3 linked regions of the Lepisosteus oculatus genome follow. The protein of the gene in region 2 binds, or shares a complex with, the protein of the main gene of each other region. Links are inferred from orthologs where the notes say so. Each region holds a gene or a part of one and is shown on either strand. Other genes may lie near its edges.

The links. Proteins that work in one complex are often made in the same cells at the same time.
Region 1: tada2a (region 2) and mbip share a complex: the UniProt entries of both Homo sapiens proteins name them as parts of the ADA2A-containing complex. The link is inferred for Lepisosteus oculatus from reciprocal best matches to the Homo sapiens genes TADA2A and MBIP.
Region 3: tada2a (region 2) and taf12 share a complex: the UniProt entries of both Homo sapiens proteins name them as parts of the PCAF complex. The link is inferred for Lepisosteus oculatus from reciprocal best matches to the Homo sapiens genes TADA2A and TAF12.

Annotation. Positions count from the first base shown.
Region 1 is NC_090703.1:22,282,798-22,293,489, reverse strand, and holds the start of mbip (MAP3K12-binding inhibitory protein 1), read right to left. Parts: upstream 4,767-10,692; 5' UTR 4,736-4,766; coding exon 4,595-4,735; intron 2,075-4,594; coding exon 1,955-2,074; intron 1-1,954. UniProt on the Homo sapiens protein: Inhibits the MAP3K12 activity to induce the activation of the JNK/SAPK pathway. Component of the ATAC complex, a complex with histone acetyltransferase activity on histones H3 and H4.
Region 2 is NC_090721.1:9,403,636-9,415,147, reverse strand, and holds the start of tada2a (transcriptional adapter 2-alpha), read right to left. Parts: upstream 4,169-11,512; 5' UTR 4,003-4,168; intron 3,876-4,002; 5' UTR 3,777-3,875; intron 2,097-3,776; exon of another isoform or gene 2,003-2,096; intron 1-2,002. UniProt on the Homo sapiens protein: Component of the ATAC complex, a complex with histone acetyltransferase activity on histones H3 and H4. Required for the function of some acidic activation domains, which activate transcription from a distant site. Binds double-stranded DNA.
Region 3 is NC_090706.1:5,801,525-5,812,190, forward strand, and holds the start of taf12 (transcription initiation factor TFIID subunit 12), read right to left. Parts: upstream 4,767-10,666; 5' UTR 4,636-4,766; intron 4,044-4,635; exon of another isoform or gene 3,968-4,043; intron 3,028-3,967; 5' UTR 3,010-3,027; coding exon 2,941-3,009; intron 2,771-2,940; exon of another isoform or gene 2,679-2,770; intron 1,461-2,678; coding exon 1,197-1,460; intron 729-1,196; coding exon 651-728; intron 1-650. Other genes in the region: discoidin, CUB and LCCL domain-containing protein 1, read right to left, coding at 9,835-10,298. UniProt on the Homo sapiens protein: The TFIID basal transcription factor complex plays a major role in the initiation of RNA polymerase II (Pol II)-dependent transcription.

The DNA of each region.
Region 1 (10,692 bases), on a different chromosome or scaffold from region 2:
TAAGGGGAAAAAAAATCCAAACCTACATGGCCCTGTGTGAAAAAGTGATTGCCCCCTAAACCTAATAACTGGCTGGGCCACCCTTAGCAGCAACAACTGCAATCAAGCGTTTGCGATAACTGGCAATGAGTCTTTTACAGCGCTGTGGAGGAATTTTGGCCCACTCATCTTTGCAGAATTGTTGTAATTCAGCCACATTGGAGGGTTTTCGAGCCTTAACCGCTTTTTTAAGGTCATGCCACAACATCTCAATCGGATTCAGGACAGGACTTTGACTAGGCCACTCCAAAGTCTGCATTTTGTTTTTCTTAAGCCATTCAGAGGTGGACTTGCTGGTGTGTTTTGGATCATTGTCCTGCTGCAGAACCCAAGTGCGCTTCAGCTTGAGGTCACGAACAGATGGCCGGACAATCTCCTTCAGGATTTTTTGGTAGACAGCAGAATTCATGGTTCCATTTACCACAGCAAGTCTTCCAGGTCCTGAAGCAACAAAACAGCCCCAGACATCACACCATATTTTACTGTTGGTATGATGTTCCTTTTCTGAAATGCTGTGTTACTATTACGCCAGATGTAACGGGACACACACCTTCCAAAAAGTTCAACTTTTGTCTTGTCAGTCCACAGAGTATTTTCCCAAAAGTCTTGGGGATCTGGCAAAACTGAGATGAGCCTTTATGTTCTTTTTGCTCAGCAGTGGTTTTCGTCTTGGAACTCGGCAATGCAGGCCATTTTTGCCCAGTCTCTTTCTTATGGTGGAGTCATGAACACTGACCTTAACTGAGGCAAGTGAAGCCTGCAGTTCTTTGGATGTTGTTGTTGGGTTTTTTTCTGACCTCTTGGATGAGTCGTAGCTGCGCTCTTGGGGTAATTTTGGTCGGCCGGCCACTCCTGGGAAGGTTCAACACTGTTCCATGTTTTCGCCATTTGTGGATAATGGCTCTCACTATGGTTTGCTGGAGTCCCAAAGCTTTAGAAATTGCTTTATAACCTTTTCCAGACTGATAAATCTCAATTACCCTGTTTCTCATTTGTTCCTGAATTTCTTTGGATCGCAGCATGATGTCTAGCTTTTGAGGATCTTTTGGTCTACTTCACTTTGTCAGGCAGGTCCTATTTAAGTGATTTCTTGATTGAGAACAGGTGTGGCAGTAATCAGGCTTGGGTGTGGCTAGAGAAATTGAACTCAGCTTTCCAAAGATGTGATAAACCACAGTTGATTTATGTTTTAACAGGGGGGGCAATCACTTTTTCACAAAGGGCCATGTAGGTTTGGATTTTTTTTCCCTTAATAATAAAAACCTTCATTTAAAAACTGCATTTTGTGTTTACTTGTGTAATCTTTGTCTAATATTTCAATTTGTTTGATGATCTGAAACATTTCAGTGTGACAAACATGCAAAAAAAAAAAGAAATCAGGAAGGGGGCAAACACGTTTTCACACCACTGTAAGCATGATAAGCTTAAACTATAATGCTAAAAAAAAACCTGTAAAAAATGAAATATTCAGTCTAATCAAATTCAAGAACTATGATAAATATAATTTACAACTGAGAACCGATGACACTTCTTAACCCAAAGGGTTGTGTAGGTTTTGGTTATGGGTTTAAAGTCAATAACCAAGCTTCTTTTGAGAATTGGCTGAATAAGATCCTTGGAGCAATTAGCTACGAACTACCTAACTGGCCAGGGTATTGCCACCTATCATTATAACTATCTTTATTCTCTTACTTTCTAATTAAATTACAAATCAGAATTTTTTTCCAAATACTTTTGAAATCCTGAAACACCCACATGTTTCAAAATGATGTAGTAAACAAAAAAAGACAAAATATAGTTTTAATCTACATTTGTAGAACAATTTACACACTGATGCCCCATTTATGAGGAGAAAAGAGAGTTTACATTATAATTTAACTAGCAACAAAAAATCTTAAATGTGTTGATTTCTTACCTGTAATTTGGAAATGTGACGCTGAATGGAATTGTACAGCTGTGCCGGCTGAGTAGCTGAAGAGAACTGCAGCTTGCTTTGGTCTGCGACAATTTGTAATACATCAGCTCCTAAATTAACCTTGAAAAAGACAGGGAAGTGCATGTGCATCAGTCAATATGCCAAATTGTTTTAGTACTACTCAATGCCTTAGTCCTGCTGGAGTTCAGCCTTCTATTTTCCAATTAGCTTTTTTCCCCAAAAAATACAGAACTGGTGCACTTAGGTAATATATCCTATCATAACAAATATGCTTCCCACAGGTATTATGTGAAACCCATGAAGAAAGATGGGTTTATATCATCACCATGTCTGCCTCATCACCACAACACAAGACAGGATTTTGTTTTGGAAGCTGAAGATGTCTGTTAACTGTTGAAACACCGTTGCTTGTTATGAAGACTTTTAACCAAGACATGGTTTAACCATCCTTCCTTCTGAATCACTTTATCCAGTACTTGTAAGCAGTTGTACCAGAGCCTATCCCAATAAGCAACTGGCGCAAGGCAGGATAAACCCTAGTCGGGATGCTAGTCTATCGCTGGGCACACACAGACAGACTGACACTAGAGATAAGATCACTGTATTAGCCATATACAATTTCTTGCATTAGGAATTCGTCTTTTCACATACCCCAGCTTGCTCTCCATGAGATGCACAGACAGGGAGAGAAGCTTGGGGTCAGAGCGCAGGGTCAGCCATTGTACAGCGCCCCTGGAGCAGCTGGGGTTAAGAGCCTTGCTCAGGGGCCCAACGGAGTAGGATTCCTCTGCTGGCCGCGGGATTTGAACCAGCAACCTTCCAGCCACACACGCAGATCCTTAGCCACAAACCCACCCCTCCGCCAGGGGGCAATTTTCCCCAGAAGCCAATTAAGCTAATATCATGCCTCTGGACACTGGGAGGAAATCGGAGCACTCAGAAGATACCCACGCAAACCAGGAGAACACAGAAACCAGAATTCCAGAAAGGTCTGGAATTAAACCCAGGGCCCCAGTGCAGCAAAGCAGCAAGCTAGCTATCGGGCCACTATGCTGCTCCATTGTTTAACCTATTTACTCTTTAATTAAAACCCAGATGACAAAGCCAGTCAGCAGTGAAGCACCCTTTAAAACACATTCAAATTGGCTTGCCATATTACATCAAAGAATAACGAAGGGAAAAAAAATCTAAATTGTAGGGAGGCAGTTTCCAGAAGTTTGTTGCCTTTTCACAAAATAAACCCTAGCTCGGTTATTTAATATAATTCATCAATCCATTATCGGAGAGCCACTTATTCGTAGCAAGGGGCCCGGCAGCACAGAGCCTATCCTGGAAGCATAGGGTGCAAGACGGAACATTTCACAGGGCATACACAAGCATGCAGGGCCAGCGAAGATACATAAATAGCCTTCCAGTCTCTGGAAGGTGGGAGGAAACCAGGACACCTGGAGAAACCCCACACAGACATTCAAACTCCAAACAGAAGGTGCCCCAGTCCAGAACTTAGCCCAAGAGCCAAGACAGCCTTGTCTGGCCTCTGTTGTCCAGCTGTGCCACACTATTCCTTAATCGATTTACCCTCCCTGTTGCCACAAAAGAAGAATTAACTGCATGTGCTTCAATTTTCTAACCGCTTAATCCAATAAAGGGTCATGTGGGAGCCGGAGCAACAGGCACAAGACACCCTGGACAGGATACCGATCCATCACAGGACACATACAGACACGAAACACACTCACACCAGGCCCACTTTTTCCAAAAGCCAGTTTTTACCAGTATGTTTCTGGACTGTGGGAGGAAACTAGAGTACCTGGACGAAAGGTACACCAAAAGAATAGACTCCACTTGAATAGTATCATAGGAACGGAACCGAGGCAGCAAAGCTTAGAAGTACACCACCGTGCCATCCCTGAACTGAATACGTGCCATATAATTGCAGAACAAACTAGTTCATTCACATTTTCAAAGTACAGTACCCTTTCATTGATTCATTTTCATTAAAAAATAGTTAAGCTCAAATAGGGAGAGAATAGTACCATATAAAATTCGCATAACGAGGCGCTTCGTACTTTGCAGCAAGAGCTTCACATGAGTTCTAACGTTATTGCAAAATATTTTAAAGTCATATTGGATTTTCTAAAAACGGAATAGCAACTAACCTATGATCACGGACAATATCTTTTTTTAAAATATTGAAGCAGTTGTCCAGTCTTAGTGTGAGCAATTGATTAATGACAGCTGTAGTTTAAACAACGGAGACTTACACGTTATGGAGGCTTTTACTGCGGGGCTGCAACTGTTATACACTCGTACGTAGTTCGTTTTACAATATGTACTCTACAGATTATATGTGTACACTCAAAAAATGTTAACACATGTTTAAAATGAGTAAACAGCAAACTAAGTTAAATATAACACAGTTACAGTAACTGCAAACCTTAATTGTTCTTACTGACAAGATTCCTTCTTATGCAACATTTAAGATTACAGATACCTGTACCGAAGCACAAAACACCTCTTAAAACCCACCTTTTATTTTTAACAGAAAGCTAGCTACAAGTCCCAACAATAATTAATAAGTGCAGTACATTTAACTTGTACGTGTTCTTCTACACTAACCTCTGCGCTAAACTGGGTCAAGGCAGTGAAGATGTCACAAAGACATTCTGTAACTGTGCCTGTAGGAGATGTTCTTGTCTCGTTCTTCTTTTGGTCGCCTCCTTCACAACTGTCTGCACTGGTCTCCACCGAATCAGCCATGACACCCTTGGCTCAGGAGTTGAACGTCGTGCCTGATGATTGGTCGATTAAGTGAAGCGAAGTCGCGCTTGAGTGACATCAATCCAGAGTCATCTGCTATTGGTGGAAAGACAGGGAGGGAAGGTTTTGGAGGTGAATGCAAAAATAAGTATCAACATTTATAACATTTCACATACATACAATGAAGTGGTCTGGGAGGTACCCTGTGTTTGAGCATTTTAAAATGGAAGAGGTATTTGCTGACTATTTCGAAATGCAAAAATATGAAAGCGGTGCGAACATTATTCTTATTTAATTTGTTTAATCTTTTTTCATAAGTTGAATTGATGTAGTAGTATGTACCCCTGACGATATTTTTGTTTGGAATTGTTATATGTACTCTTGTTTGTATTGTAATGTTTGTTCTTTTGTTAAGCATAAATAAAAATAAAAAAACATAACATTTACAATTGACTTATAAAACAAATGCAAATTTTCATATATTAACTTTATATCCAACTTGCCCTGTAACCAATAATAATTTGAAGCATATGTTGGATTTCTATTCCTATTTGGATTTTCAGATTAGAAAATAATCTGTATATTTTAAAGAGTGCTAAAGTACTAATAAGTGAAGTGAAGCGATTTACGTTATTTATATTTGTCTCAGGACTTTAGTGGTCAGTCGTTTTAGCATTTACACAAAAATGTCCGGTTCTTTTTTAACTATTGTAATTCCGACTGTTTTCATCAGATTAATAATGCTTTTATTTTATACCAAGATTTCGATTCTCGATAATGGAATGTCCTAACTTAAGTGTTCTTAACTCCAGTCGGCAATCTGACTCATTTTATGTTTTAAAGAACTGTACACCTTGTAGGACTGCTGGATCGATCCAATAAAGTGTTAAAGGAGCAACCCTTTAAATCCCCTGAGCCTTAAGCAGATGTTAATAATAATAATAATAATAAAAAAATCCTACTGGATTTCAAACCATGTAGTCTGAAAGTTAGGATGCCTTCATCTAGAGAACAATCTGTTTTTGCCCAAAATGCGTAGATTCTTTACTTCTTCTCTGAATGCAAACTATTGAAAATATCTAAAAGTTACTTTTGGCATTATGGCCCAATCACTATCTTTTTCTTCATACCCTGTTTAACTGCATGAGGTTGTAGTCTGTAATCTTTAAAGAATAGAGTGACTGTAATTTTACCACCATAAAAAAAATCAGTTGGCAAAAATGTCATTGGATGTACACATGAAAATAGGGGAAAGGAATAGGTCCACCTATTCAAAATGATACTAAGCTAAAAAAATTCAATATATTATTTTTGTTGAAATATACTGTTATTGAGTGAAACAGCTCACATCCGATCAGATATGAGCCATTTGATTGTGCAGTCCAGAGGTTTTTGGAATTCTTCAGTGGTTCTGTAAGAAAGGTCATATCAGAATGAACAGGCTGGAAGAATAACCAACAATGCAGGCTCCAGTTAGAAACATGAAGGAGCCTCTCTCAGACGTTCGGATAAAACTAGAAGGTTGTACAGCAACATGGTGAGAGGTGTCACATAAGAACATAAAGTTTTACAAGGAGGATTCTGGTAGCACTCAACCACCCAATGTTTTTTTGTGTGGGAAAAAAAGTTATTTTCTTTTCCAAAGGGAATTGTATGGATGGCAATGAAAATACCATTAGGGGAGAGAATGGGGGAGAAAAGCTAGAAAAAAAGGAGCTATAATAGTCATTATTCTATTTTGACCATATTTATTAATTCCATGCATTCTTTAAGGCAAATAGTTCCATAATTGTTACATGTGGGTACATTTCTTATGATTATTTAATCATAAGAAAACAGATAAATAAATATGTTTCTCCTGCTTATACAAGGGAGAGAATGACTTTCTTTTATGAGGGTATAATTTGAAGGGCATATCCACATATTAATGTTGTGTTCTATTAAAAGGAAAATATGATTAAATTCACAATGTGTGTAAGTGAGTGATACCCCTTTTTCACAGTGTAGCACATAAGTGCAGAAGGGAATCCCAGTTTTTGTGCAGCTGTATATGGGGTTATAATACTTCAGTAAAGGAGGGAGAGCCTTTATTGTATCTATACAAGAAGAAAAACAATTAGCTTTAATTCCATTAAATAGCATACCTAATGTTGTGTGACCTGATATTATAACAGGCTGTTATAACAATATTCTATTTGGCTGAAGAGACAGACTTGCCAGAAAAAAAACAACATTTTTTTATTTAAAATGAAACATTAAAACCATAGTTTCTAAAACAAATTGATTTTAAAGATGAATTAATTTGACTGCTATGCGTTTTTGTAAAACAAATGTTTCCCAAGGTTTCAGTGTAAACGTACTACACATTTTCCTCTTCAATGGAAAATATCTTCCCTTGTGCCTGAAAAGACACAACAAAAGGGTTTTGGCAAGCAAAGGACAGTGCTTCCTCCAGAACACACCATTACGGCACCAGTTCACGGCTAACAATGAAGAAATTAGGGGAAATGCACCACACTCGGTTATGTTCCACTTAATTATTGGTGTGAATTTCCACATCTGGCTAAAACTCTGATGTGATGTTAGAACATGGCTCAGGCTGGTAATATTCATGATGGGAACATTTGTTTGCACAACCAGCCTGGTCTAACGAGAAAGATACCCTAGTATTCTCCAATGAATATATAACAATGTTGCATTTCAAACAATTTGAAGTTATTTAAAGCACACTCGTTTTCTTTACTTCAATATTTGAACACATACATTTTTCAAATACCCGCTGGGGGAGTTATATTTTTAAAATGTTATGTTATTGAAGTGGCGTTTTGCAACAGTCATAGATCAGATGTCTGCTTTCATGTTTTAGAAACAAAGAAAAAGGTTAGGATTGTTTTTTCCTTCAACACCCCCCCCCCACACCCTCCCAGCCCTAATGTAAAGAAAAAAAGCTAAAATCCACAGACTTCCCAGTAATGTCAAAGGAAACAGAGGGGCTGGAAAGAAGAAGAAGGAAGCAGTGAGTTAAGAAGTGCAGAAAACTACAGGAGCCCTGGGAAAATGTGATACAGTGTCAGTTGCTGAATACATTAAGAAGGCATACTTTTAAAAGGGGGCTTTAATGTTCTGCTGTCGGTACAGTCGAGCTTTGGTGTTCCGCGTCTAATGGTGTCATGCATTGTTTTTTTTATCATTTTGACTTATTGTTCTTGGGCTTTTGTGGAAACAGCTAATTAAAAAAGAGACACTGCTGAGGGCAAAGGGAGGAAAAGGCTTTCTGTTCCTCAGGTCCTTATCTGTGGAAGCCTGCATACAAAGAGAAACCTGGGACTTGGGGGTTCCATTTAATGGTTTTCAGGTTAATAGTAGCACAAGAAAGCTGCTGGCAAGGTTTATTAATGAAAGGCCTGTCAAGGTAGAGGAGTGAGAGAGCCAACTGAAGCACATTCTCTAGGAATATTACAGAATAAAGGAGAGACTTGAATCTGTCCTTCAAACAGCTTGTAGAAATAGAGAAGAATGGAATAAATTAAAAAATACAGTGTTTTTTTTATGTGGGGGCACAGATGTTAGGTACTGAATTGTTGTACCAACCTCTTTAGCATGCTAGAAGATTATCACCAGACTAAGGCAATGTAGTAAAATTCTCCTCCAGCGCACCTCAGGATGCTGTTTTGGGCTGTAAAAAATGTCCGTTGAGTCATTTTACCAAAATCCGTTTTTTTTTTCCAAGAAGAATGAATGTAAGAAAAGAGAACAAAAATGAAGTAGTCATTACTGCTGTTTCCATGGTAATTAACTGTCAGTGAGTTTCTATGGCCAACAATGTCAGAAAAAGAGAAAAAGGAATAGATTCCTAATGACCATGGATGTATGCTCTTTGTTGTCCACAACCGAAACATTTTAGATGAAAACTGTGATACAAATTGGAGAAGCTGGAGAGTCAGCTCGTTCACTGAACTGCGACAGCACTACATCCAAAATGCAAATGATTTTGAACACTAAAAATGGGAAAGATTATATTGTCTTAGTAATTTACATGTGGTTATTGACTTAAAAGCCAAGCCGAAAAAGTAAACAGAAAATAATGATGCCATGCTGCTAACAACTGGACAGAAAAAAAGACAATTCCTTTCATGTTAACTTAGCTGATTTCTGATGTTTAATACTATTTCATCCTAAGGAGAGAAGACAGTCCTTATATAAGTGTCTATTATTATTCCTTTATTTTTTTGGCAAAATATTCCTTAAATGTTAAGATCTGGAAGTAGAAATATTTCCTTACTTGTCATAAAAGGGTTCCTGTTGTAAAAGGGGAATTTCAGACCTGCAGGTGTTAAATCTAGTCCAGTTTATTACTTGATTGAATCCTTACCTGAACTTTTTTTTATGTTTATGTGATTGGAACCTGTGAATGTTTTTGTTTTCATTGCAAAAGCTAGAGACCTTCAGTTCCTTATGAAACTGAATAAAATATTTGTTTAGATTTTTTAGATAACGAAACAGTAAAGCAGTCAATATCTAAAGGCATATTTAAAAGCCCGTTGACAATGTGTTTAGGCACATTGAAAACAATGAAAGATTCAAGTTAATCTAATTATTAGTCAATTAAGGGCTCAATTATCAAACTGTGAGCTCAGCTGGAAGGAAAGCCTGCAGGTGTGTGGGTCTCTAAGACCAGGATTGGGAACCCCTGCTGCAGGACATGTAAAATATTTATTATGCAGTTTTAAACTCCAACCAGGAAGCCAGTGTTAATACACTCGTCAAATGCTTCCAGCTGGTGATAAAATCAAGTTTTGTAAACATTACTGGCACACAAATCACATTGTTTTGAGCAGTGTTGTATTTCCATATTGAGTCTAGTTTCCTTTTTCTTGAATCAGGACGAACAAAAGAGTAGTTTGATTATTTTCAGCGCTGTGAATGGCTGGTTATGTCCTTACTGTTGTCTGCTGTGGTGTTTAGCAACCGACAGCAGGGATATAGGTATGACACAGGCCTCATCGGTCTGTCTGGCATGCTCTTCCTCAGGTATCGCTGCACATGCTTTGCTTCAGTGGAAAAAATGGTTAACTTGGTAAAAGAAAAAAAAACACCTGTGTTGTGAAGGTCTGAGAGACAGCTGCCAGTGTGAATGCCGAGACTTTTGTGTGTATGTGTGTGTGTTAACATGCATTGTCAGATATTGGCAGAATCTGTCTCTCCCTTTGCCTTTTCTGCAAGAATGCATTGACAGAACAGCTCCCCGTTTATAGAAATGTTGTCCATCAAGCTAGGGAGTACAGAAAACACAATGGTGTGCTTCTGTGGCCAGTGACTGTGGGAAACTTTTTCTTGGCTATTCAGATTTTTCCCCCTTTTTCATAGAACGAGAAGAGGCTGATGAAGGCAACAACAAAAAAGAACAATTAGGAGAACAAAACCAAACCCTCTTACAATTGAACTCTGGAACGCACTCTGGTGAGGTTAATAATTTTTGGAGGAATTAAGAAAAAAATGTGTTTTGTTTTGTTTTTTGAGAGGAGGGGGTAGTAATGTAACACTTGTCCTTTTTCTTCACACTCCGCCTAATTCCTCACCTCCTGGAAAGAATAAACTAGTGTGTCAACACCAACCTGGTGATTAAACGAAAAAAAGGTAAACCTCTATATTCCCACGCCGTTTTCTGGAATCACTGCAGGTGCTTGACTCTTTTTTTTGGTTTGATTCCTTTCTGTTGCTTGATTCTAAAAGTTACATTTAAGATGCAGAAAAAAACAAAATGAACAGTTTTAAAGAAACATCTGAAATATCCACATAATCAATAATGTCCATTTTTCCACTGCTCATACAGCGCAAAACATGGCTTTCTTGCGGACTGAGACATTTCAGTACTCACAGATTCTCAAAAATCTTGTCTCGCTTCCTTATTTTCTAGTCAAAGGGTGCCTATTTGTGAAACTTCGCATTATAAACAA
Region 2 (11,512 bases):
CTCTCTCACTCTAGCGATCCTCACTCCTCCGATCGGAGCTTCCTCCCATGTTTCTCTGCCACCCTTTCACTCATTTTCCAGTCATCTCTAAGTCCCCTGCTTTCTGCAGGCGGTTCCTGACCTCCCAGCACCCGCTACCAGCATTCCTTCTGCCTGGGCTCAGCTTACACACTTCCTCAATTCACCATCATTAGGAATGATTAGCACGACTGGACGCCTGGCTCCTGTGTCCTATGGCGCATTCCCATGGGAGCAGGGAGAAGTGAAACGGTATGATTCTCTACTAGACAGATACAGATATCCCCCCCCTGTAAGAGGATCTCCTCAGTGCGCTGCAGAAGAACAGAGACTGGAAGTATCTTTCCGTCCACAATTACATCAGTCAATCACCACCTGAAAACTGGACGATATAATTACATGTTATTTCCTGCAGGGATACAGGGTGCATATTTTGTGAAGAAACATTCTCGTGTGTCAAGCTTTGACCAGAAAGTGATTTGTGGAAGTGCCATTAGGATTGAAATCCCGTTTCCTGTTTCCCAGCGAGCATAACCATACAATTATTTTGAAGCCCATAAGTTTGCATACGTGCAACTGAAAACCGAGATTCAAAACATTAATGTGTCAATGGTTAAATGTTGTCCATATGGGCTGAGCTAAGGTTCAAAGTTCGGCCTCACAACTTTCTTGGGTCTGAAACCTTTCACGTGCATTGCTATCAGAGCAGAATAAAGGCTTTGCTCACTCAGCCACACCGCCACATGACTGTGGAGCTCAGATCACTCGCTAGCCAGCCTTTTTCCTCTTCTGGTGTCAAGATCTGGCTCCGAGACTCTGAAGGCCAGGCAAGACCCCGCCGGGCTCCTGATGACAAGTGTGCTTATTTGCAACCTGCAAAGTCCTTGAAAACGGTCCACATGGACAACAAGAACACAAGGCTCGTTGTGGCTAAGAAATGGTTCAGAAATGCTGGGGATCTGACTCAGTGCCCTGATTTCTCTCTGCTCTGCTCTTGGCAGCACAGTGAGCACATTCACGGTAATATAATATTGGCCCAGACTCTATACATTTTCACAACCCTGGGGGGCATTCGAGAGTGAATAGCAGCCAGCTGGTGCCAGGCAGTGGGGGGGCAGGGGCTGGTGTGTTTGCTTGGATCAGGCCCAGTGCAACCTTTTCTAGCCAAGACCCATGCAAGAGCCACACAACTGCAGGACCCCTAGACTGTCAGTCATGGTTTTAAGGTAGCATTCTGCCTCTACCTAAATTAGCTGCAATGTAAAGCACAAGCACAGTACATGTGTGTGTGCCAGGCACACTGCCAGTACCACTGTATGCACTTCTGATCAGCCCTCTAGCTGAAGCACTGTGTCTAATTCCTCAGGATACCTACTATTGTCCACCAAGCCGAATCTCAAAGTGCACTCCCTGGTGGATTGAGTGACAAGAGAACTTGCTGAACATCCACCCATGCAAGATATTTTCACAGATTAACAGACCCCACATTCTGCAAATATATTGTCCTGCTTTACTGGAAAACGTTAAAGCATCATAGCATGTGAGGCACCTGTGTGTACTTAATTAGATCTATTATTATGAGCCGTTAAAAAATATATATTTTAAATTAAAAAACAAAAGGTCAGTTGTTCTAATTTGAAATCCAGTTATTAAATCTGTGATTATTATACAACATAACTTTTATACCTAGATTTAATCTTATAAATTCAATCATATTTTTATCACCAACGCCTATGCCCCAGCAATGCATTTTTCGGCATCCACTGCTGCTTCCTGTACTATTGAAAACTCCCGGTCTCCGAACTACCCGATCGGGTACTCGGAGTTGGCTGGTGAAATTCCTCCTTGGAACTTCAGTTAACACCCAGACCCCACAATCCGTCAGCAGCAATCCCATCTCTCCCAGTGAGCTGCGAGAAGAAAGCCTGCCTGGTTTAATCGAAACTCAAGTCAAAAGACTTAACTGACCCCTGTCTTTAATCACCTGCACTCTTCCTGCAGGCCCCCATGGATCCGAAACCCTGTGTGTTACTTTGGAGAACTCCCAGGACGTCAGCCAGTCCAAGGGAACTCGGGCACTAAAACAAGGGGAAAAGGATAAGAGCAAATCTGCAAACATGCATGCTCTGAAATGTGTAGCTCGAGTTAAACCTGACTGCTGCCCCTTGCCGAGAGCTGCTTTCTGACAAGCCTTCCACTGCCACTGTGCAATTTATACTTTCTACTGTTAGGCACATCACAGCCTGGCTTCAAGGGTTCATATATAATTGAGACAGTCTTTTGCGGCTTTGATGGTGGCGTCTTTTATTCACATGGAGATGATGGCTCGCGCCAGCGTTTTCAGATCTAATTTTGTCTCTTCGTTTCAAAGAAAGAACCCCCTGCCATTTAATTATTAAATGCTCCTGGCTGATGACAAAAGAATCGAGGTGTTCTTTCAATCCGCCGAGCTAATCTTCAAAGACCAGACTGTACGGCACCTATTAGGAGAGGTGTGAGCTGTGCGCCTCTGTACGCGGTCCTTCAAGGGACAGAGGGCTCAGAAAAGCCACGCTCAACGCCCAGTGCCTTCCTTGAACGTTTTATGATGCACTGGAATAATAACATTATGCACATTAAAAACGGCAAATTTGGCTTCTAATGCTTTTAGCAAATCACCTTTTTTTGGGGAAGAAATCAATATTCCGCCCAGGAGGAGGAACTCCCATACAGAATGGCTTCAACCAGCAGCATTTTCCTTTTCTGACTCGTTTAGACCCGATTCGTTCCTAGGGGTTCCAAACCTGGCTGAGAGCCCTCAGCGGCTGGTGGCGTCTCCCCTGGGGGACTGGAGCCCACCCCCCAGACCCAGTGTTCACTGCTGTCTCTTCACCGGCAGAGGAATCCTACTCCGTTGGGCCCCTGAGCAAGGCCCTTAACCCCAACTGCTCCAGGGGTGCCTTACAATGGCAGACCCTGCGCTCTGACCCCCAGCTTCTCTCCCTGTCTGTGTGTCTGTGTCTCCTTGGAGAAAAGCTGGGGTATGCGAAAAGACGAATTCCTAATGCAAGAAATTGTATAGGGCTAATAAAGAAACATTACTATTATTAACCTACACCCCAGTGGCCTTGTTTGGTTGCAAAACCCATTTTTGGTTTCTGCTCTTTAAAGGGAGAACAGAACGGCGTCTTTCTCCTTGACGTCCACCAGAAACCGTCCTGCAAGGTACAGAATCTCTGGCTCATTACTGGACAGGGCTCCAGCAGTCCTGCGCTTCACAGTCCCAGTGCAGAGTGAGGATAAGACCGATGGTAGATTTATTTCAATATTCATGTTCATAATTGAGCAGGCCAAGACCAAAGCTGGATTCATCGGCGAATGAGATCACAGTGCTCAGGGGATTTGGGGATGTATGTGAAGACCCTTAAAACGGTCATTTCCTGTTCCACTGCAGTAACGTTGCCCTGGGGCAGTCGGAGCTGCACTTCCCGGCCCCGGGTGGAATATCCAATAAAAGAGTAAGGCAAGTCTACTCGTTTTGTTTTCTCCCGCTCCCTGGAGAATTCCACAGACACGGAATTTTCCACTCCTTGCACCCCCCCCGCAAAACTGTTATTTGATGCCAGTAAAGCGCAGGGCTTTAACGCCGCGGGTTGCACGAGGAACGGACGGGCGACACGTCACACTCAACGTCACACTCGGTCGCGAGCCGCTCGCGCGCGCAAGGAGCGCTGTAACGGTCGGTTTCTCGGCCGAAGAAACGTTTTTCCTGAATTTACCTGAACGACGCGAAGCCGATCCCAAGATGGGCGTCCTTTCCTCTCTTCCGGCGCTCTTCATCGCCAAAAGAGCCGAAGTATTATATCCCCCAAGTCAGACTGCAAAATGAAATTTTATTTTATATTTCATTAGCGGAAAACAACTCAACTCAACAAAACAACTCAATTAATATTCCAGATTCTCGGCCCTAAATTGGGAAACACCTCAGCTTAACCTTTTCCTTACCTCTCCAACAACCATACATGCTTCTTTAATAGGTCATTAGGGAAGTATGTTCTTTGAAAAAACAGAATCGTCAATTTTGTTACACAGGACCACACGCTTTTTTCAGGGCTCGGCTGGTACCGCAGAAACCCCGCGAGCACCGGGGGCGGGGGAGGGAAGCCGGAAGCGCAGCGAGATTCCCCGCCCCTTTTCCTGCCCTCTCGCCTTCTCATACGTCACAGGCACCGCCTCCTAGCCCCGCCCAGTAGCGCAGACTCAGCAGCGATTGGACAATAGTGTCGATTGTGTAGCCCGGATCATTCTCTGGAGCTCTTTAGTAAAAGGGCATTTAGAGCCGAAAACAGGAGGCACGTCCTTGCGCAAAGGGTGGTAGGGGTGTGGAACAAACTCGCCGGCCATGCTGATGAAGCCGATAGACTGGCTTCCTTCAAGAAATGGCTTGGTGAGATCTTTGGACCAATTAGCTACTAACTGCCAAGCCATTCTGCACCGAATGGCCTCCTCTCATGTGTAAACTTTCTCATGTTCTTAGCATCCTTTCTTTCTGAACCTCTGCTTCTCAAATGCAGCACTTACCCATTATGCGCTCTCTCGTTTCATCAAAGCTTCCCAAATGAAACTGCAAAAACATACTACAGTATGTTTGTGGAGTCTGCCTACCTTAAAAAACCCTAATCGATCTGTTTAGGTTTAAACCAGATAATCCTCAGACCCTCATCTTTTAAAAAAGCACAAAAAAACCTCCCTTCATTAGACCGTTATTCTTGAAGTCTGCACATCCTGTTTGCTGTGCTGTAGTCAAGCCAGGTGTCCTGGGAAGAAGGAAGAGAGATCAACAGCCGCCCAGGAAATCCATCTCAAAGTGGCGAAGGGTCACTTCAGGCTGTGCCCCAGGAAGGAAAAGGCTGTTTGTTCCAGGTGTCAAGGGAGCACTCCATCCATCTGTGTGTCGAAACCGATCTGCTGTTCCCCCTGTAATTATAAGATAGAGTTACTGGATACCCCCCTGATTTCAGTGCCCGGATGAACTGTGGGCTGGTTTTAATTGCTCTCACTGGGGCACTGAGAAGCCCCACAAGCGTCAGGGATTTCCTAGGCATTCTGGGAGGCAAATTGGCAGCTCTAGTTCAGTATCAGTCTCAACTCTCTCGCTTGTTTCTCTTATAGAATCGGCAGTCCAGCCAGTTTTCTATCTCTAAGACCTCAGTTTGGAAGTGACTTCTGTCACCAGGGGCAGCAACAGAAGACACAGTTGAATGAGGATTGTGCCTCTCTAGGAGGGGTGATTTTATCAAACGTGCATCGTGCAGTCATGCAGCCAGCAGCCATGTCACCCTGCAGCTCCCAGCTGGTGACCCTCTGAAGCCCCGCAGGTGTGAGCCTGGTCAGTACCTGGATGGGAGACCTGCTGGGAGAAACTAAGGCTGCTGCTGGAAGAGGTGTTAGAGAGGCCAGTAGGGGGCGCTCACCCTGCAGTCTGTGCGGGTCCTTTACTGATGTGGACACTATACTGTAAAAAGGTGCCGTAGAACTGGGGTCCCGACTCTCCATGGTCACTAAAAATCCCAGGGAGTTGGCAAGATTTCCCCCTGGCCTTTACCAATCATGGCCTCCTAATAATCCCCATCTCTGAACTGGCTTCATCACTCTGCTCTCCTCCCCACTGAGAGCTGGTGTGTGGGGAGAGTACTGGTGCATCGTCCAGGTGGGGCTGCACACTGGAGGTGGTGGAGGGGATCTCCATTGTCTGTAAAGGGCTTTGAGTGAAGTGCTTAGAATAGTGCTACAGTATATAAGGGTAAGGAACTACCATTATTAGTTTTAAAGCCTACATTCTGCATATCTTTGCATGCACGCGTGCCAGAAACAAAAACACAATCTGGATCTTCAAAAAAGCAAAGGACTGATCGGATCAACTCTGTTACATTTGGTTTGAACAGCACTGGAGAGAACAGGCTCTGCCGTTCCTGGGCGTCATGCTAGCAGCGCCCATCAGGCTTATCTCTGCGGACAGATGAGGGGCTGTTTGAGATGACATCCTAGTGAAAACAGGGAAAGGACAGCCCGAGCCGTTCACCTTGGCCAGTGCCGAGAGAGAGAGCCAGCCGATACACGAGTCACCCGGAGGGTCGTCTCTGTGCGCCATCCATCTTCATTCCCAGCGTCGCCGGGGAGCTCACAAAAACAGGTCGTGACCTTGGAGCTCAGGGCCTGTCATTCTGAGCCTCGCTCCGACATTCCAGACCCCCAGGAGTTATAGACAAAGAGGGCCATTAAGCCCTGATTGATTCGGAGGATGCTGTTAAAGGACATTAAGCTTGGAAATGAATTCATTCAAGCATGCTCTAAGTGAGGAGTTCGGCAGTGTTTCCCTTTCCTTTCTTTGGAGATTTTTCTAATCACTTGCAAAGAGAGACGTGCTTTATCCTGCATTCCTAGCTCCAGTCCTGGGCACAGGCAGGACAACTGGAGATGGGCAGGGAATGGGCAACAGGAAGGGCACAGTACTCCCATACCAAAAGAGAGACTGGTTTGAGGGGCGTTTCCGCAGCAAATTGCTTGGATGGACCTTTCCAATTCCCCGGGCAAACAGAAATAAATCCTCCGCACCACTTTGTCCCGAGGTCGTGCACAGTTTTGCACTTGCCCAGGAAAGGTTTGCACGTCTCTCTGCACGGCAGAAGCCCAAGAGGATGCAGGAGGCAAGAGTCACGCAGGTTGAACCCCGAATCCACAGGAGTACTGTATCTCGCCTCTCTTCCAGACCCCCCTGCCCTATGCCTTCTGGCCGGCAGTGTGCACCCCACGGCTCTCCCACCCCTTGTTCACCTGCGGTTCTGTGAACGTTCGGGAGGGAGGTTCCGTCTGACTCGGCTCTCCGTAATTAGCAATCACCCCTGACATCATTTCCTCTCCTAAACACTATAAATACTGGACGGGACCCCCTTCTCTCCCTCACGAAAGTCTTTCTGCATCTCACCTCCACCCCACCTCCCCCTCTGCAGCTGCCCCTGGGTCACCCCTCACTCTGCAGGGGGCTCCCAGCCTCCTCGTCCTCCGGCCAGGAGGTTGGCCCTCAGCCAAGTGGGTTAAGCCAAAATGTTGACTAAAACACTCCACAATCCATTCAGTACTCTTAATTCATCGGTGTTGTCAATCCTTGTGAAACAGCGCTAGGCCGTTGCTCTGAATACTTTATCGGAATCAGGACATACATTCTGTATACACTATATATGCAAAGTCCTCTGATCTTACAATGTCCTGCTGTGTATGCAACAAAAAGACGAGCACAGAAGGGAGCAGGCACAAACACAGCAGAAGCAGTATCGGAGGTTTTACATCACAGAGGCCAACGCAGAAGGATGCGATTGTTACCAGCTGTACAGACAGGGAGGGAACACCCAGGCTGCGTTAATTTTAATGCTGCACAAAAGAGCACCATACAGTAAATGCTATACACAAAGGATCTTGATTTTAAATTCTTTTTAAAAACAGATTGGGGAGGAACTCCAGAAAAATGAGCTCCCTCTTCTGCCTATCTTCCCTTCCAACTATCCTATCCTGTCGACATGAAGACACCTTATGACAGGTTCTAAGACAAAGGGTTTAGTATTAGTAACCCACGGTTACAAGCATCCAAATGACAAGCGCTTTGTTAGAGCTGTCTCTGTCAGGGTCAGGGGTCACCTGGGGCCACAACCCCAAAATAACCCCCCCAGCCACCCTCCTCACGGCTAGAAGGCTGATGCTGTATAGTTTTAACAAGAGTGTAGATGCTATACAGTACATCGTTGATGGGAACTACGCATGACTAATGTCACTTCCGCGCATTTAATTGAAACCATCTCGAATTGGTGTACTTTTAAAACGGGATCATCCGCTTGCAGTCGTATATATATCGGGCTGCTGTGCATGAAAATGCACCCAGGCCTCGGGCAGAGCGGAGGCTGCAAGTCTCCGTCAGCAGGAGGGGTGCTATGTGTGCTCGTTGGGGGTAGAAATTGATCTCCGTAACACGCGCTCAGAAAACAAACATGAAGAGAATCAACCGGGGCGCAGCGGTGGTGACAGAGAAGTCTCCTTTCTTGTTGTTTGTTTCAGAAAAGGAGCCATTTCTCCCTTGGGCGAACTCAGTGTCTGCCCACTCCCCCGGTGGGCGTCGGTCCAGCCTGGAAGGTCTCCCCCGCGGGGGTCCGAAGCTGTCGCGTCTCGGCGCGGCGAGAGGCTGGGGGTCTTTGCAGGAAATAAAGGAAACAACGTCCTTAACGTTCTCTCACAGCCCCTTTCCTGAAACGCGCTTCAAATTCAGACTTAACGCATGTGCTGGGACACAGGTGGTCTTCTTCTTGTCCCTTTTCCCTTCCATTAAACCATTACAATCCGCCCCCTTGTGCAAAGTACACAGGAGGATAATTAAATCCGGTGACGTCACCACGCGAGAAGATTTTAAAAAAACTTAGAGCGTGTTTGCGTGGGGGGAGTAATACCCCCTCATCACCTCAAACACGAGCCCATTCCACCCTTGAATATGTCCCACACATAACCTGTGTCAAAAGGTGGCCTCTGTTAGATGCCTTGACATTTCTAAGTAAATATCATACTGAAACCCCCCTTCATTCATTAGTGCAGTCGCAAAGGGGTGGTGCTGAGTTATGCAGGCCTGCTACAGTACCAGCTTCCTACTGCATGCCTGGGTAGGAAGTCCATATATGGACTGTGGGAGGAAAGGCATGCAGAAACGGAATGAACATGCAAACTCCACACAGATAGCATCCCAGCTCCAGAATGGAGCCCACAGCCCCAGCTTTGCAACCACTCCACCACTGTGCTGCCTGCATTTTGAAGTCTCCCTGTCAATCCTCTGGTTTGGCTAGTCCCGATTCATAGGTATTTCAGTATTTGCGTGTATGAGCTGGGAACGATTCAGTAGATATTTTCTACGAGTTGCTTTTTAATGCCTGCAATCACTTTCGCCTGCCCTGTTCCCCTGGTGTAATCAGCTTAATCCAAACCTTCCTCCACACAGATCCGCTGCCTGGAATTGTATGGGCTGATGTGCGTTAAAAAAACAAACTCTATTGAAAAAGCGCGTGCATGTTCAAAAGGAAAAAAAAACACAGCAATGATGTCAGTACCATGATAAAATGTACAAGTTTCCAAAACTCTTAGTGTCATGATTAAATCACCAAAGCCCCAATGCCGTGGGTACTGGTAAGGTTAACAGACCGGAGTTCTGACTAAATGTTTTTAAATAATTCATGATAATAAAAATCCTACTGCAGGGTGTCCATTTTCATTTATGGGATATAATAATCTGCAGCTGCCAGTGTCTGTCTTTTCTTATCTTGAGATAAAAAAAACAAATCATAAAACCAGCACAGAGAGCCATAAAATGTAACTGTAACTGCCAACCAATAATTTGGAGGGGTAATTTCAGCCTTAATACCACACTCCCTGAAAGCACAATTTTCCCTACTGCAAGATTATTAGGGGAATACATTGAGTGTCAGTAAGGTACTGTAACATGCAGCTTAGAGTTACAAAAAGGTAAGACAATATCCTTAAAAACTGAACACACCAGCATCGGTACAGACATATCATATGTATCTGTATAATAAAATGTAAGCAGTAGATAAAACAATACAAATAGCTTTGGTAGTGTGTGAGTGCTGCACAACTTTACAATAAAGGGAACTTAAGCCACAGTTAAATGCATCTTCAACGTGCTTTTGCTAAGATACTTAACAAGTGCTTTTATTTGTTTAATGGCATTTCCTAAAACAGAGCTTCGGCTTACACACTGGACACCATAAGCTGGGAGCTCACGTCCGCGGTAGCAGCAGACAGATACGTTACCTCCTCGGTTTAAAGGCACGCCCCACGCAGGCAGTTTAAAAGAGCTGAATCCTTGAGCAGAGAGGCAGTTATTCAAAACTCTCAATGGCACTGAAACTTAACACCCAGTCGACCCCTTCAGAATCAAGAGTGAAGCATGAAAAGTATAAGGAAGTGCTTCGAAAACTGAGAACAGAGGCAGTTCTTTACACAGAGTGTGGCAGGGGTCTGTAACAAGCTGCCCAGCCATGCTTTTGAAGATGATACCCTGACATCTTTCGGGAAACACCTGAATGGGATATTTGGCTTGGCTACCGTACTAGCAACCAAATATGCCAGCTAGATGGATCCATTAGCCACCTCTAGTTTGTAACTTTTACCATGTGTGCTTATCTCTTTCTAAGGCCATCTTTCATTATTCATGTGCAGTTCAGTTAAGTATTCGAGCAGAGTTAGAGATTATGCACCATTATCTATTTAAAGCCATTTGTAACACATCTTGTAATTACAGTTTCACTGAACGAAAGAAGTGCCTGAAGACACTTGAGTCAGAGGTTGTGCATTTGAAAGGAGGAAAGAAGAGAGAGGAAAATGTAAAAATAATCCCCACAGCAGAGAATAAAGAGTATTTCAAGACTGTGTGACACTGGTAAACAGCCCTTTTTCCTGCGGTATTCTTATCTTAATTACAGCTTTGCGGCTGTCTTCCAGGATCACCAAGCTGGGGGTAATTACATGCTTTGCCAGTCTATGCGGTCCTCACAGCTTTCTCGTTGCTGCTGTTGTTTTCACACCTTCTTGCTTTCATTGAGAAGAATGTCTTTGCGCAGCCCTGGTTTAATTCCCCCGAAGCAGCCCCTCTGCTCCTGTCCCCTCAGAGATTCAGATCCGTCTGCGCCTGCGAGCACGCTCCAGCATGAAATCGGCCGGCCCGGAGGCCTTGCGGAAACGTGACACCCCGGCCGGGATAAACACCTTGTACACAGCGCAGGAACTCTGTACACACACAGCCTCCCGTTTCACATAATCCCCAGGCACCTGCATCATGAAGCCAAACAAAGTAGGTTTATCCATGCTGGCTTTCAAGTTGCTGACTCCATGCTGTATTCAAACAGACTTAGAGTAACTAGAATAACGATAGATTTTTTTACAGGTAGAATCTTAGAGGACCTTCGTTCAAGCTTTAGTTGGAGGGATGAGAAGGTACAGTAAAAACTGTTTTAATTTGGAGTACTACTGCACTTACATCTGTCAGTGTCCCCCTATCTGGTGTGTCCTTTAAACCACTACACCCTAGACTATCCACACCCCACTGGACTCACCACGCCCCCTAGACTACCCACACCCCACTGGACTCACCACGCCCCCTAGATTATCCACACCCCACCCTGTCAGTAGGAGCACTGACTTCAGATCAGACATTGTACAGCGCCCCTGGAGCAGTTGGGGTGAAGGGCCTTGCTCAGGGGCCCAGCGGAGTAGGATTCCTCTGGCGGCTGAGGGATTTGAACCGGCAACCTTCCAGCCCCAGGCGCAGATCCTGAGCCACAGAGCCCTGGTGTGATTTGAAATACTTCCAAGTGTTGTGCAAGGACGGTAACCGCATCTGCAAAGCAAGATATCCCACCACTGTCAAAACGAATAACAGGCAGACTCTTGCCTTATAAAAGACCAC
Region 3 (10,666 bases), on a different chromosome or scaffold from region 2:
CATCTGAATGAAGTTAAGCAGGTGTGAGCCTGGATGTGAGACCTAAGGTTACTGCTGGAAGAGGTGTTGGTGGGGCAAGTAGGGGGCACTCGCCCTGCAGTCTGTGTGGGTCCTAATGCCCCAGTACAGTGACAGGGACACTATACTGTAAAAAGGCACTGTCCTTTGGATGAGACGTAAAACCGAGGTCTTGACTCTCTGTGGTCATTAAAAATCCCAGGTCCTTTCTTGAAAAGAGTAGGGTTTTTACCCCAGTATCCTGGCCATACGTCCCATTGGCCTTTACCAATCATATCATGGCCTCCTAATAATCCCCATCTATGAATTGGCTTCATCACTCCTCCCCACTGAGAGCTGATGTGTGGTGAGCATTGTGGCGCACCATGGCTGCCATCACATCATCCAGGTGGATGCTGCACATTGGTGGTGGTGGAGGAGAGTCCCCATAACTTGTAAAGTGCTTTAAGTGGAATGTCCAAAAAAGCTGTATATAAGTGTATGCAACTATTATCACTATTAATATACCAAGACTTTTCAGCTCCACCATCACCACAAAAGAAACCAACTTTAATGAAACCTGACTGCTAACACATGCAATCTTACAACTTTGTCTGAAACTAGTCTTACACAGGCACATGGATGGGACTCACCTCCTCCACATCTTCATCCAGCTGCTCGTTGGGGTCAATCTCTCTAACCAGGTCCTGCAGCTTCTTCTTGCTAAGCACCTGGATGTAGGACACAAGCACAGCTTACTCATCCAACTGCAGATGCTCCTCATTGTCACTTTGTGACTACATACTATAAAAAGGCTCAGGAAAAAGATGCAGGGACAGTTCTCTAGCCTTTTCTAGTACAGAACACTGAAATTTGATAGTGGGTTAATGCCTAAAAAATAATTTCCAAGACATACAAAAACAATGCAACATCATCATGAGCCAGAAGAGAGATTCCTGTCTGTCATGTCTGTCCTGTTACACAGTGGCTTAAACATTTGAGAACCTCATCTGGCCATTTTTAAATATGCCAGTGGATCACTTCCTGGCAAATAATGATATGTTAAGGAACTTAATCTGAAGGCTGCCAGAAAGATAGAAGAAATTAGAATCCCCCTACACACACAAAAACCATGGCAGAGAAGTATCAAAATCCATGCGTAACACATTAAGCAGTGATAACAGACTGGGAAGGGGTACCTGTGTGCCCTCGGGGCTCAGTCTTCCAGGTACCTGGGTATTTGGGACTTTGCCCGGTACCACAGCTGCAGTGCTATTGGCCATGCTGGTGGAGAGAGGAGGGGTGGCAGAGGGCTCGGCTTTCACAGTGGTGGAGAAGTTAGAAAGGTTGGTTAAAGCCTGTGGCTGGTACTGGGTCATAATCTGCTGGGCTTTGGCCTTTAGATCATGAAGTTTCTCGAGGTCTTGAAGCTGTTTGGAGTTGTAAGGACCAGGTCCAATCAGCTGCAATTAAAAATGAAAAAAAAAATCTGTAAACAGTGATATATCTTGGTTTAAAAATGGGAAGGTCTGAGGCTTCCCAGAAACATTACATAGGTTTAAAGACAAGCTGGTCTAAAGCAGCAGGGGGCAGTGATTAACTAAGAAAGCAGGGCAGTGTAGCATGTCAGCATTTTGCAGTGTTGGGGAGTATATAAAGAGTAAAAACATACTCTTTAGTAGAATAATGTGTGGGTGGAAGTTGGTGTTCCTATTGTGTATAGTGGGATCCTTAAAAACTCATGCTGGAGTCTTGAGAAACAATACAATAAGAAATAAAAGTAACCAGGCATAAGAGAAGATTTTCATAGCTGGTGTGACCATTCTGAAGCCCAATAAAGAAGAGTTTTTCAGAGCTATGACAGCACTACCCTGTGAACACGTGACACTGGAAGGAAACATTTTCTTTACGGTTGGCAAATAGTCATCAGAAATTAAATGACCTCATCAACAGGTCACCGCATGAGTCGAATGTCTTTCAAAAAATTGCTGCCAAATTTCCTAACAAGAAAATAACAAAACTACTGTTGCCATTTAGTAAGGCAGGATTAAAGTAGACAGGAGGTTGCTGGTGAAAGCTGTTCACTTAACAGACCTTTACAATAAATAAGCAAGTAATAGGTTTATTCCATGCTGAAAAAAAAGAAAGAAAACAACGTTTTGGCCATGGAGCCTTCTTTAGGTGTGTGGAGCCGCCTTCTCTTTTCAGCATGGAATAAACCTATTACTTGTTCCTTTGCAGCATACGCATTCTGACGCAGCTACCCACTTGAACTACTAACAATACACGATCAATCTGTTTTATAAATAATTTTAAATGCCACAAATACCTTATAATTGCTATAAATATCTTACAAGAATACAGAATAACTTAAGGAAGAGACCTTTGAACTTTCTGCTCAAACACACAAATAAACCTACATAAAACTACAAATGAGAGGTTACTATTGGCCCCTTTGTCTTGCTTGGTAGGCTCACTAATAGATAACCATTCCAAGGTCCAACAAACCATACAGTTGTTTGTTGAATGAAGCCAGGGTATCACCTTCAGAATCACCTGAAAATCATGAAGGTGTGCACTTAGATGGCTTTGTCAATGCATTTCTTGATTTTGAATATTTGTGCCAAGACCTTGCTTAGTCTTCACTGGTCATAACTAAAACGATGAAGTTTTTTTTTTACCTGGAGTAGAACATTCCTCTAAATCCAAGAACACATCTATTGTTCTCCTCTGCACTGATTCCAGAGAATCAATAATTTTGAAAACTGTTTGGCTGTTAAAACAACAAGAGTGAATAATGAATATAAATGCATCCTACAAAGATAACCAGGTAGAACATACTGTATGCTTGGGCCAAGTGAGTGAGTTATGCATTGTAAGCTGATGCTGCACTCACAGCAACCTCACACAGCAAAGGTCAGCTCACACAGCTACTGTACTTACTGCTATCTGAGTGTCTAGATCCCTAATAACATCAGCTACAGCTGAAGGCCCAGTAATAGGGGAGGCCATTTCCACATGCTACTGTACCTGGAAACAAACAGCATGTTACTGTCACTGCACTGTCAATGCCAGAACAGCACACAGGTATATGAAAGGCTACATAAGAGTAGAGACCCTTCAGCGACATGTCTCTGCTCCTGTTCTAAGAATCACGCAGGAATGCTACTGCATGACACTGGCAACACACAGCTAGTTTGCCTTTGGTGGTGGTGATGTGGGGGTCATGTTTATATCACCATATTTTAAACCTTATCTCTTAACCCAACTGTTTAAGTAACATACAAGCAGCCCTCCAATCTGCCATTGTTCTGTCTGAGGTCTGCTTGGTGATACATTCCTGGCACCTAACTAATCTTTTTAAATTAATCAGTGAAACAAGTTAAGACTCTCAACTCACAGGGCCTCTTTAAAAAATATTTCAGTTGAAACTAGATCCTAACTGTAGCCCTCCTGATGCTGCTCCAGCAAGCTAAATGCAAACCAAAGCAATGCTACAAAGACATTCCGCGAGGGCTGGGGTTAAGAACAGTTGTTTTACGGCTCTGAAGTCTAACTTTGAAACTAGTTACCTTACAAATAACACCTTTTCAAATGCACCGATGGTATTTGAAAATAGTTCCTAAAAAATATTTAAAAGCTCAACTGGAAACCCCGAAGAACTGATTTGGAGAGCTGCTACTCCAACATGTACAGTAACTACAGTCTACCAGTATTTACCTTCCCTTAAACGGACAACATTACAAGCAATAAGAGAGAACTCTGGAAGTAGCAGTGTGTACCACCTGTACTCATAAAAAGTAAAAGAGAGAAAAATAATCAACATACGATATCAAGTGTATTATTGGTCATTTGGGTGAAACATCCCTAAAGCATTTTACTTCTATTGTTTAAATTAGCTGAAATGGAAAATAATTCTCTCGATGTCAAAGTGGAGCCTAATTGCAACGACGAACACGGTAAAACTCACGTTTCTCAACAGTAATAACGGACCGATAAGCTTGTCCAACCAGAAGTGGTAAAGACGACATACATCATAGAAACATCTACGAAAATAACATCCAAATTAAAACTGCAATACACAAAAGAGGCATACATGCACAAAGACAGCGATAGGTTTTAATTGAACAATTCTCCCCATTACTGAAGGATTGCCAAAAAAGTGGCGTTCCTTTGACATCTAAGAAATGTGCGATGCATTGTAAATTTGTTCGAAATAGTGGTTTACGTTACGGTAGTCTCGACAAATAAAACTATTTATTTCTCCCACATACCAGCGGACAAAATTAATCAAGATCTCCAAATCGTCCGTCACACATCGGTCCTGTGTATTTAATGTTTCTACTGATTCTTCTACTGTCAAACCTATAACCAAACCGGACTGAGACAGCTCCGATCATGCGAACTGAGTAAAGCACGAAACACGTCAAACAGACATTTTTACAACGCCAAATGTTAGACTTTTTACATAATTTTAAAAAGGAAGGAGGCATTACGCTCCTTATGAAGCCGAAATAAACACGGGGTCCGCTATTTCGAATAGACGGTTAACTTGTATCTACTTAAAAGTAATTTTCCAAACGTTTCCCGCCGTCCGCAGTGCACACGGATTCACTTCTGAATTCGAATATAACTTACATTCCAATCTCAACTCTATCTCCCCATGTTTCACGCCTTATTTCTGGCTTTTAGATTATTTAGATGCCACCGACGTCGAACACCGTGACTCCCAGTATCAGCTTTGTGTTTCTTTGAACCAACTTCCTGTCTCTCCGGAATTACTTCCGGTGCCACTTGACCTCCCTAACGTCCATTCTGATTGGTTAATGGCGGGCGTTAAGGCTGTATCCTGTAACCAGAAGAAATTACTACGGTGCTTTTTTCGCTATATTATCGATGATGTACTCTTCACACATACTATTGGAAATAGTTTTAGTTTTAAGTGTGATTGTTTGTACGCTGCATTCTCCTGGTCTTTACTCTTTGATGTCCTTGATTTCGTGTTAAACCAGGCATTGTCAACCTTTCTTTCCACGTCTCTTTTTATATCCTCTGAATTAGACATCCAATCAAAACAAAAAACAGAATACATGTTCTGATTCTAATGTGATATAGTTTATAGTGTTACAAAGAAAACGGTTGTTTCTTGGAACTTATTTCAAACTGAACTGCGAGTGATTAGAACTCCCCTTAAGTGCCCTTGGAAGACTCCGCCGGAAAAGATAAACTGTTTAATAAACAAGCTAAAATTCCCCTTGTTTCTAAAGAACTAGGAGGTTTCCTGGACATAGTGTTGCAAACTGGACCAGAATCAACAGATCATTTTGAGACAAGACAGGCCTTACATGTTACTTGTTACTGAACCAAACTAACGTGCAAACTAAGTAGAACTACATTTTATTACTTTATTTTTGTCAGAGGAAATAAATCATATCTGCAATTTGGGTGATTGCAAAATGAAACAGTGCAAATAAAAAAATATTGAGATTCCATAATTAATATATTTATTAACAGTGTCTCATGATAATTAAGCAAATAATTATCCCCTGATGAACAAGAAGGGATAAGAATACTTATTCTTAAGAATTCTTATACTTAATAATATATTTATATTATTTTTATACTATTAATACTAAGTTATCGCTGCTAGTCTTCATAGTTGTAGTTCTTAAAATGATCAACATTACTAACAAATATAACAGGATCACAAAAATGATAGTTTAAACGTTCACTGATACTGTGCGACCGACAATCTTGACTGAAGCCCCGCCTCAGAATTGTATGGTATCCCATGATGCCTCCATATTTGCATACAACTCTTCTTCGTTTTTTTTTTAACAATGATATAGAAATGGCAGTATTTAAGAAAACGCCGTTTTGGCTTCAACAGCTGTATCTACAAATAGTTGTTTTGCATACAGTGTGATAGGAACACTAGTTTTGAGCTCTCGCACAATAGTCACCGCAAACCGCTTACTCATGCAAGGACAAGGCTACTCCACCTGCGGATGCATTCGGTAAAAAGGGCTTGTGCTGTGAATTGCACAGGGACGGGGTGGGGATCTCGCCCCGTCTCTGCGGAATCGATATCAAGAGATTTCGGAAGCACAATTTTTGTGATTCTGGGCTGCTGATGATCGATATTCTTGGCGCCCTACATTATTGTGTTAAAAACAGATGGAAGTCGTGTCGTTAATTATATGTAGTTGTGGAGCGTCAATATTTGTGATGTGAGACGCTTTGCTGCTTAACCACAGGGTGTCGACATACGCACGTGCACGTAGAAACAGATCTTCCTCAACTAATTTCAACCGATAAAAATTGAAGTTTTCTAAAATGATGCTTAGTAGATATACACTATACTACTTATTAAATATTCAAGTTAAAAAGTTAACGGACTGCTAAATGCTATTTCTCTGTATAGCAGCACAGGGTATTTGGTAGAATTCCGGTCTTAGGGTGCTAACTGCATGAAATTTGAATGTTTTTCCCATGTTTGTGTGGGTTTTCACTAGTTGGTTTTCTCAGGTCGCTCTGGTTTCCTCCTACAGTCCAAATAAATAATAATAATAATAATTCCTAACACTTACATAGCACTTTTTGGAGACTCTACTCAAAGCACTTTACAGTAATGGGGACTCCCCTCCACCAATGTGCAGCCCCACTTGAATAATGTGATGGCAGCCATAGTGCACCAGTATGTTTACCACACACCAGCTATCAATGGGGAGGAGAGCAGAGATTAAGCCAGTTCACAGAATGGGAGACCTCCTAATACTCCTCATGTATGAATTGGCCAGGATGCCAGGGATACCCCTACTCTTTTCAATCAATCAAAGTTTATCAAATGCACAAAAATACAGCATGCAGCAATAAGTAGCCAGCAGCCATATCACCCTGCACCTCACAACTGGCAACCAACTGAAGCTCAGCAGGTGTGAGCCTGGTCAGTACCTGGATGAGAGACCTCCTGGGAAAAACTAAGGTTGCTGCTGGAAGAGGTGTTAGTGGGGCCAGCAGGGGGCGCTCACCCTGCGGTCCATGTGGGTCCTAATGCCCCAGTATAGTTACGGAGACACTATACTGTAAACGGTGCCGTCCTTTGAATGAGACATAAAACCGAGGTCCTGACTTTCTGTGCTCGTTAAAAATCCCAGGGCATTTCTCGAAAAGAGTAGGGATGTAACCCTGGCGTACTGGCCAAATTTCCCATTGGCCCTTACCAATCCTGGCCTCCTAATAATCCCCCTCTATGAATTGGCTTCATTACTCTGCTCTCCTCCCCACTGAGAGCTGTTGTGTGGTGAGTGTTCTGGCGCACTATGGCTGCCGTCGCATCATCCAGGTGGGGCTGCACACTGGTGGTGGTGGAGGGGAGTCCCCATTACCTGTAAAGCGCCTTTAGTGGAGTGTCCAGAAAAGTGCTATATAAGTGTAAGCGATTATTATTATTATTAATTGCTGGTAATGAAATGTCTTTTCTACGAGCTCACTGGGTGGGGCTAAAAAAGTTACAAAATAAAGTTAAATCCTAATCGTGCAATAGAAATTGAATAAGATAAACTCAATATAAACAGAACTGCTATATGTCCAGGGTGTATGCAATACTTTATGTCCAAGTAGTGCAGTATGCCAAATACAATAAAAACTGTATGTCCATGTCCATGGTTTCCTGAAGAAACTGCAGCTTAGCTATTTAGCAGTCTTATTGCCAGGAGGTAGAAGCTGGGATGACTGGGGTCCCCAGGAATGGACCTGGACGTCCTAAGACATCTAGCTGAGTAGATATCCTGGATGTTTGGTAGCTCTCAGTCGGTGATGAGCTGTGCTGACTTCTCCACCCTCTGCAGTACTTTGCCGATTTTTAATGATATTTTCTTACGAATCATACTGCTTCCAACAAAGTGTTATTTCTCATGATTACTAAGGGATGTGTAAAATTTAGCCTCCCAAAATATCCCCCTCAAAAGCACCGTGTCATTTTTAGCATGGGATTTCAATAACAAACAGCGTCGCTACCGCCATCCTGAAATTTCTGCTGTGGACGGATATGAAAGACTACAAAACCTGAAGTTGTTTCTGGCAGTGTTCAATGAGTCCAAATTCAGACTTGTCCTTTTCTGTTTTCTCCTTTTCTTTTCCTTCTGCAGAATGGAATCTGCCCAAGGTGCTACTAAACCTTATTAGCTGTTATCCATGTTTTCATATCTGGACAGTGCGTTTTAGAGACTAGTTAAGATCTGTTTCTCTGGGGTTACTATTAAATGTACGAAAGGTATGGCCACAGCAAACAAATTAAAGAGTGCCTCTGGGCTCTGGAGATGAATGCAACAAGTTTTATAATAATCTCATCACTTTGTTGAAGCACAGAGCAAACTCTTAGTCATATATAACTCCACAGAACATGCACAAAAAGAGTGGGGAAATTAGGTGTGTTGAGGGTTACATCATCTTAAAAATAGCTTCACACACTGAGTCATTTATTTTTAATAAGAACAGAAAATTGTTTTCAAAACCATATTTTTGTTTAAAAAAAGATCAAACAATCTCACAATTTGCTCGTAAGTCATTGAGATTTATTTTTTATATTTCATTTTTTTTTTCTGCAAGGCCAGAAAGTGCACACTCTTGCCCGTGTGTCCAATTCAAGTGTAAATGTTGTAAGTGCAGTGTGCAGTGAGATTAAAAAAAAAAACACATTTTATTGCAGCTCAGCCTCAATCTTTCCCTTCATTTTGTACTGTGTTCAATAATATTCGAGATAAAAAAAAGTTTCAAAATGGGATTGCAGTAATCTCTCATACCTGGGATTGATGCTCAAAAAAATATAAATGAAAGTTTATGGTGTTTAAAATGGGCACATATGAAATGTGATTTGGATATCTGAAGCACTTCATTATACTTTTGTTGAGTAATTCCTAGCACTTGTGCTGTACGACCCATATTGCCCAAGATCTTATGAAATGTGTTCCATAGAGGCTCCCCAAAGTTCAATCTGCAAAGAACCAGACCAGCCTGCAGGCCTGACAGGCCAGTGTGCATGGTTTTGTTTTTGGCTTTTCTGACATGCTTCGGTACAACATTGGTACCGTTTCATGGAAATGCTTGGCACAGACCTTCTCCACTCCAATCCTTGAGGCTCCACAACATCGACTGGCTGTACTTAACAAGCAAGTGCAAATTCAAAGACACCTTTGTGAACTACTGGAATCCTCCTCTTCCAGTCTGGACCTGTCTGCTCTCAATTGTATTCTAGGTGTTCTCTACTGCCACAAAGCTGGGGATTAAATGAGAACATTATTGTGGTGATCCACGAATTACAAAAGCTTAACATGGCCTTATTATGGCACAAAACTGTAATACAAAAACTCTTGTATGCTTTTTGAAAACCCTGACACTTAACTGAACAAGGCATTTGTTCAATGTTTATGATGAACAAGTATCTTTTAACCAATGGCCATGATGTGCCATTATAGTCAAATGGTTGCTTAATACAAATTTCATTGTGTGCCTCCTTTCACAGATACTGTACACCGGAGTTATTGAACTCCTGTCTGTGATTGGTGATCAAAGGGAGTCTTATAGTGGATCCTTAAAATAAAGTATAACAGTAACATATTGTGTGACTGTGGCCTACTAAAGGGACCTTCACTGCTCTCTGATTGAGTCAGTGTATTCATGTTATCAGTATCGGTGAGGATACTCGCTGCACCTCTCTTATCAATTCCTTCCAGATCACAGGAGTGGCAGTAAGTGATCAGCAAGGCTGTGGTATTACAGCACATTTGAAGGTACAGCACATCAAGCCAGATTGGTCCATTACTCAACGTGCTGTCATCACAATGGCTCGTGATACATGTGGCCATGGGAGTCGCTGGGCACATGGCACGCTGGTTGTGGCTCAGCATATACCACGCTGGCTTTACGTGGGCCATTGGCAGAGGTCTGGGGAGTGCAGTAGCCGCTATGTCCTTGCTGTGCTGGCCGGTCATACTGAGGCTCCATGGGAGAGTCATTGGACGGCTCTTGGCTCACGAAGGGCCTAGGAGCCTGTGCTGGGGGCACCACTCGGATCACACAGATGTTCTTCTTGGGGCCCGCGGCGAAAAGGTCTGCAGACTGCTCGCTGAAGGGGGTGGCATATTCAGGCTCGGGGGGCAGGGGCTCAGCGTATTCGTGGATTTTCCCCGGGACGTCGTAATGGTTCAGGATGAGTGGGATTGTGTAGCCCTCATCAGCCGCAGGACGGAAAGTGGAGCCCAGCTTCTGTCCTGCTGCTATGAGATCCGGCTCAGCATAATCTGGGGACAGAGGCATGGGGAAAAGAGAGGATGTGAGGACAGGAAGAGTACAACATGCTATAACTAATGGTCTGAGAGATGTGTTTCCTTTACAGTTCCATCAGAATAAAGACACATGTACATTTGTAAAAATCCTGACATAGACTAACTTAGGCAGTTGCAACTTTGAAAAGAAAACTTCCTTGTTGCCTTGTAATGGGGAAGGATCCAAATCCCACTGGAGGTCATTTTATCATAGATCATTGAAGCAGTGCGCTCTAGGGTTCATGCTGTGCTTGCTGTGCTCATATCAGCAGCTTGATAATGTAACTGGCACACAAGGCAGCTGAACTTGTACCTGGGCCTGCTGTCAGAGCCTTTGGAACTCA